2 linked regions of the Coturnix japonica genome follow. The protein of the gene in region 1 purifies or fractionates together with the protein of each later gene. This does not show direct contact. Links are inferred from orthologs where the notes say so. Each region holds a gene or a part of one and is shown in the gene's direction. Other genes may lie near its edges.

What was found. Proteins that work in one complex are often made in the same cells at the same time.
Region 2: the proteins of ubiquinol-cytochrome-c reductase complex assembly factor 1 (region 1) and ubiquinol-cytochrome-c reductase complex assembly factor 2 purify together in Homo sapiens (co-immunoprecipitation; 3 studies listed by BioGRID and IntAct, counting the BioPlex papers as one, with this or other methods). This does not show direct contact. The link is inferred for Coturnix japonica from reciprocal best matches to the Homo sapiens genes UQCC1 and UQCC2.

What each region holds. Positions count from the first base shown.
Region 1 is NC_029535.1:1,169,899-1,172,892, forward strand, and holds part of ubiquinol-cytochrome-c reductase complex assembly factor 1, read left to right. Parts: coding exon 1-107; intron 108-2,994. UniProt on the Homo sapiens protein: Required for the assembly of the ubiquinol-cytochrome c reductase complex (mitochondrial respiratory chain complex III or cytochrome b-c1 complex). Involved in cytochrome b translation and/or stability.
Region 2 is NC_029541.1:4,422,675-4,426,660, forward strand, and holds ubiquinol-cytochrome-c reductase complex assembly factor 2, read left to right. Parts: upstream 1-1,179; 5' UTR 1,180-1,207; coding exon 1,208-1,345; intron 1,346-2,479; coding exon 2,480-2,554; intron 2,555-2,883; coding exon 2,884-2,953; intron 2,954-3,672; coding exon 3,673-3,767; 3' UTR 3,768-3,855; downstream 3,856-3,986.

The sequences.
Region 1 (2,994 bases):
TGTCCGATGATCACGTTCTGGCAGCAGCTCTGTGGAGGAACCTCTTTAACAGGAACTGTGAGGACCCTCGGCATCTGGAGTTACTCGTGGAGTATGTGCGCAAACAGGTACACTGCAGCTCACAGCACAGCTTCTCTCCATTCTCTTGGTTAGGGTGTTGAGTATTTATCTTTATTGCTTGGGTAATGCATAGCTCCATTGTTTTTATCTATATCACTTTTTTTAAGAACCCGCTGAATGTTTTTAAGGAGATAAAAGTAAAGACATTAACAGATTCATTGCAGTTTGAATAATGTCTGGAGAGAAACTCACAGAAGATTGAGAGCATCCCTGCTTATTCTTTTTCTGCACCCGCTTCATGAAGGGACTCAGTGTTTTGGCAGTGGGTGGTAACTCGTACAGTCATACCTGGTGCTGTGGAGACATTTTGGTAATGAAATGGTTTACACACAGTAATTAAAAATCTTCTGTTTTGGGGGGGAAAGACATAAAAGGTTTTTTCCAGGTTCATTCAGTTACTATGCAGAGGAAAATGTTTAATAGTGTTTGTCCTCTCAACCTTTAGAAATCTGGCTCAGAAACCTCCTGGGAAGTACTGGGTAGGACCTGGTAAATGTGGGTCCTGGTACGTACCAAAGACAGAAAATGGGTGAGAAGAGGGCTGGAGGAAGGAAGGGTTTAGCTGTGGGACAGGAAATTGGAGACCAGAAACTCCACAGCAGCATTCTCAGTAGTGTCTCCAATGCTGTATTTAGGACCAGATAGGGAGTTGGAGATGTATTTCAGTGTAACTCAGAAAATTGAATGGAAAATGAAGGGAATTTGTCAGAGACGCCTTTGGAATGCCAGCAGGCAGTGTGCGCTGGCTGTGTACTGCCATCTGGAAAGTGTGTAGCAACTTTATATACTGAAGCAGAGGACGGGAAAGAAGCTTTCAGCAGCCTAATAGGAAATAGTAATTACACAGATAAATGTAGCACATTGGAGAAAAGTCAGCACAGCTTCTGTGGAGGCAGGTCATTTCTCACCCATCTGTGGTTTGAAAGCATCACTATAGATAACAAGTGTCTGACTTATCCTCTTTATGGATCTTTAGGAAACATCCAAAAAAACCAAAAACCCACCTCAACAATGATTTCTATTACAAGAAAGAAAAAAATTGAGCAGTGACAGGGGAAGAGTGAAGGTACTCTCATAGGCAAGCAACCTATTGAAATATAGACAACAGAGGTCAATCAGCCCTCACTTTTTAATGAAAGTGAGAAGGTTCATTGCAGTAAGGATTGGTAACTGTGAAGAAGTGGTTGGTGCAGTTGAGTGAAGACAATAGCAAAGTGGGTACACTAAGGGAGAAAAACAGATCCAGCTTTATGTTTAAAGAGATGAGCTCTAGGCTATCAGAAGAGCGCAGAGTTCTTGATTATAATTTTGATATGGAAATGGCAACTTTGCTCAGTAGTGTTTGATAAAAATAAAACAAGCGCTCAGAACTACTAAGGAAGAAAAAAACCTGTTGTGTTATGGTGCCACTTTTCAAGTCTATGACACCATTGTGGATTTGAATAATCTGTAATGGCCCAAAACAGTGAGAAAGATAAAAACTGAACTGAATAAGGCTCAGCAAAGAGCAGTGGAATTGGGAGGAAGCAAATTAGCAGTGACTGGGTTCCTTGCCTCTAAAACAGCTGGGAAAGAATATGAGACAGCTCTGTGAAACCCTGAAGGTGTATAGAAGGTGAGCAAGTGTGGTAATAAAACACTGGTATGAAACTAAGCTTCACCACACCGTTCTCTCTCTCCCCTTCCTCAAAAGAACAAGGGAACAAGGGCAGAAAATATGATGGGAAAAAAGCTCACAGGTTGAGATAAGAACTCACCAATTACCGTCACAGTCAAAATAGACTCAGCGCAGGGAGATGAGTGTAGTTTGTTTTGCTAACTACTAACAGGCTGGGAAGCAAACTGAAGACACCTTTGTTCCATGCTGGGGTGGTGCTAGGGAATGGGGAAGAGGAGCTGTGATCAGTCCCTAGTGCTTCCTTCCTGCTGCTGCCTGTTGGTTGCTGCCTTTTCCTGCTCCATGTGGGGTCCCTCCCATAGATGTCATCCTTTCTGAACAGTCCATGTGGACTTCCCATGAACTGCAGCTCTCCAAGCACTGCTCCAACATGGCTCTATACCATGAGGCCCATCCTTCAGAAGCAGACTGCTCCAACATCTGGGTGACTGCAGCACTCATTTCTGATTTCTCACCTGTCTCTCCCAACTGCTGTTGCACTGTTGCATAGCAGTTTGTTCTTCCATCTGTTCTCCCAGACACACTTAACATCATTCCTCTGGCCAATGGTAGGTCCATTCTGGGGGGAGCTGGAGCTGGCTCAGGTCTGACATGGGGCTCTGCTCACAGACTTCATTCTTGCATCCCTCCTCGCTACCAAACCCTTGCTACTCAAACCCAATGCAGCAAGGAAAGGCTGAGCATGGATTGCCACACGTTGCTTGGGATGCTGTGTGGATTCCAATGTTACTGGTGAGGTTTATGGAAGGGAAACCTGTCTGGGGTTATTAAGTACAGAACAACCACTTCACGCTCAAAATCACTAAACTAACAGATTTTAGGAGGGGTGGGAAATAAGGAAGTAATGTGATATTTATGCATTGTATTCATCTGCTGCTGGGAAGCCTGTTGACTCTCAGTAACACAATGCTGTGTGTAGGTGGCTTTTCAGTCTGATCCTGTGACTGTTGCTGTATTCTTCCCTCTGTTGAGAAACTGCTTGTCAAATTATATTGTGTTTCTGGTAAACACTGTAAATCCTTTGTGTAAGATATCTTTTGCACAAGTTCTTGCTGATCCTGTCTTTAACACTGGCTATTAGTGGATGCACAGAGAAGAATACAATGACAGGGCTGGCATGGGTACTAATTCCCTGGTGGACTCTCTCAGCAATCTGTGTTTGGAGATGTCCTGAGCTAGAGGTGGTACATCTGAGT
Region 2 (3,986 bases), on another chromosome or scaffold:
CACAGAGCTGTTCTTGCAAGCGTTTCCCCACGCAGGTGCTTTGTTAAAGCACAGACATGGCAGATGCTGCAGAGCTCCTGGTTCTGTACTGCTGGAGGTGTATGAGCATGTAGATCTCAGACCAAACAATGGACCTTGCAAAGGTTTAATCCCCCCTGTGGGACGTAACAGACTGACAGCAGTCAGAGAGACATTCACATCAAGGTATTTATGCTTCGGATTAAAGAGAATAAAACATGTCAGGGACTGGATATTAAAGGTCACCTCAAAGTTCTTTGGTACAAATATAATGTGTGTCTTTGGAGGAAAGTGTCACAGAAAAAAAGCCACCCACCTGATTCAATGTTTACAGCTTTTGTTGACAGACTTTATTATGGAACAAACATAATTCCTTCCTGCACGGTGTGGGAAGCTTGGAAGGGAAGTCCCTACACAAGGGACAGGGGTACAGAACCCAGTTACTGGGAGCGGGGATACAAATAAAGTTGTCTCAGCAACTCTCACCTGTGGTCCATCTCCTTTCCAGTCCCAGAGCATCCCCAAATCACGCTCCATCTTTCCTTGAGGGCTGCACGTTTCCCATTATTTCCCCAAGTTTAAATACCAGATCTGCAGGGAGAGCCCTTCGCTCGTGTTTTACAGCACACAGCTGGAGAACTGCTGCAATTTATAGCTGGAAAATTCAAGTCATCTGGCCCGGCTGCGTATTTCACTTGGCCTGAAGCGCAGCTGGGAATATCTCATTATTTACTGAATATTGCTCATCGTGTCGCATATTATTGCATATTTCTGTCCCGCAAGCATCGCTGCCTATTAAAAAAGCCACAAACTTCAGCAGTGAAAGGGCTGCATCACCCCCAGCCTTGGCTCAGTGTCACACACAGTGCTCAGTGCTGATTGTAGCCCACATTGCACGGCTTATAGTGACCACACGGACCCTCCTCAGCTCAGAGCAGGAAATGGGGTCTGTAAATGGGGCAGGATGGGGCAGGCTCTAATATTGAAGCACCGGGAGCCCTGCTGGCACAACCTGGTGTGCCCCACAGGTGAAGGGGTGATGCTGTGTGATGCTGCACACACGTATCGCTCTATGGGGCCGGGTGGGCTGTGATCCCGGGGTGACCCTAAAGGTCCCATCCATCCTATGGGGTGGGGGGACTGCGCATGAGCAACTCCGCCCCCACCCTATAAGAATCACGTGTTAAATATGGCGGCCACCAGGTACCGGCGCTTCCTGCGGCTGTGCGAGGAGTGGCCGGTGGAGGAGACGAAGAGACAGCGGGATTTGGGAGCCTTTATTCGGCAGAGAGTGGCCCAGGCCTTCCGAGAGGGGGAGAACACGCAGGTGGGAGCGGGGACGGGGCCGGGACGGCGGCTGCGGCCTACATGGGGATGGGGGGGTGGTTGGTGTCTGTGTATGGTACCGAGATTTGTGTGTGTAAGGATTTAATGCAGCCAAAGGAAGGGATGGGTGAGGGATGGAGGGGCCTTAAAGGATGTTCTGTCAGCGGAATGTCTGCTTTATCCACGTGGAGGCAGCGCTGTTTAATGGCTATTGCTGCTGTCATCACTGCAACATCAGCGGGGTCACATGGAAATGACTGCAGATACCCCGAGCTGAGAATCACCTGCAGTTTGATGGTGCTCGACAACCTCTGGCCTCATCCCCTCTGCTGCAGGAGCCGTTTCCAGCCCCTTCCAGCACCCCAAGGACAGACGAGCTGTGTCATTTTATCCTGCCTTGTTATGGCTGATACTATTCTTGTTCATGTGTCTGTTTTAATCGTTGCCTTTGATGTCATTGGGCAGCAGTTCAGGGTCCTCATCAAGTTATTCCCTGCTATAAATTAGAAAAACAAGACGCCGTGCCATTCACAGACTCTGTAAGGCTGAGGCACCTGTCAGATGAACCGAGAGTTTTAGGTATTAGCAAAATCTTTCCAACTTACTGGACCAAAATAGAAATCCATTTACCCCACACAAGCTGCTCAGTGCTTTTCATGCCGCTTTTCCCTGATCAATTATAAACTATTTTTAGCTCGCACCAGGATTTTCTCTACCTTCCATCCCAGTACCTGATCCTGTTTGATCCTTTAGAATGAAGCAAAACCTGCCTTTGAGCAGAGAAAGCTCAGCTTTCACAGTGCTGGCCAATAAGCTTGAGGAGAAAACCATCCAGCTACGTTCACATTCCCTGTGCACTCACAGTTGAGCTGTCATATCTTTGTGAGCAGAACTCAAGGTCCCTTCTAGAACTTACATGCCTCATTATTCTTGTAGGCCAAGCTGGCCAGAAATGGAGGAGAAAGAAAATGCTCTGCATTCAGGAGCAGCACAATAGGGGTCAGCAGCATCCTGCATTGCACTGAGAACTCAGCTGCTCTTCTGCTGTCCTTCTCACAGACTTTCAGCTCAAATGAAATCTGTTGCTATGCAGGCTTTAAAATAAGACTTGTGTGATATTTCTGTCACTTTCCAGATCGCTGATCCTGAGACCTGCGACCAAATGTATGAGAGCTTGGTCAGAATCCACACCAACTTCTACAAAAACAAGGTAAGGTTTGCTGTTAGCCATTGCCAGCCCTTTAGTGGGGCAGTCACCACCTGCTGCAGTACCCTGCCTCTTAACAGCAGGGGTTCTGGGCATACAGCAGGCAAATGAGAAGTCAAGTGGCTGCTGCACTGCCTGCTGCCTTTGGGTTCCCCGGTGCTGCTGTGTCTGAACAATGCCAGGGGTAGTTTTTGCTATGGATGAGCACAGTTCTTATTTCTTGACTGAAAATGAGTAGGGCTCTGTTATTTATTTGGTGGTATATTAAGTCTTCTAGTGCACTTGTAATGCCTTGTTCTGTCTCTCCTTCTCTCACCTACTTGTTTGTGAAGTATCCACGCCTGAAAGACACAAGCTTCACTGGAGTGACAGTGCAAGATTGCAAGATGATCCTAGCAACAGGTACTAATACTGTGATTTGGGAGTAAATCAATGCAGGAGATAAATTACATTCTGTTCTTTGTGGTGTTCACTTCATCACCTCTACTAAACGCTTGTGACTAAAGGACTGATTGGGACTGCCATGCAGGTGTATTAGGATGGCTCGAAAGGTATCAGTTCAGGCATAATTGAGGAGAGTCTCAGTAATCTATCGGGACAAAAAGTCAATTGTGGTTTTTGCAGTGGGCAGGAACAGCAGAGGGTTTGTAAAGGCTTCTTCAGATAGAATGGCAGGAGCTGTATGAAAGCAATCCACGTTTGTTATGTGGCTCAAAAAATTCTTGACTTCCATTTCATCGTGTTCAAATTCCCTTCAGTACTTCTTATCTCGTATTAGACCTTGAGAGAAAACAGGGCACCACAATGCAGAAAGACTCTCAGCCAAATCATTTATTAAGCGTGGTGCAGGAAGCCAATGCCTTTTGTTCTGCTCCAGTTCCTAACTTTGACTGTAGCGCATGGCAACTGAATATTAGTTGTTAGAGATAAGGGGCTCCCTGCACAATTGATTGGAAGGGAAACAAACTTGCCTCAGGCCCTGAAATAGAAATTCATTAAGGCAAAAAGTCAAAAAGAGAAAACATTTGTAAGGCAAAGCTCTTATAAGAGAGCTTTCAGCCCTTTGCTTTCCTGCTTTTTTTCATCCTCTTTCCCCATCTCTCTCTGTTCTCCTTTTGCAGACATGCTGAAACAGATGGAAGACATGAAAAAAGGGACGTGGAGAAAATGGCGAGAAAGGTTTTACACCAAGAAATCTGAAGAGGACTCGAAGTGACAGGCTGACCCCTGCTCCCCCTGTACATATCCCTAACGCTCCGTGTTGCCATGATGAATAAAACCATTCATTCCTCTTAGCAACAGCAGGTTTTTTTTGTTCAGACTTTTTTTTTTTGTAATGTCTGCTCTTTTCCTTTTGGGAATGTGGGACCTACTTTACCACATCTGTGATGGGGGCATATCGGATCGGTGTAAATGTTATAAAGAAAAGGGCTTT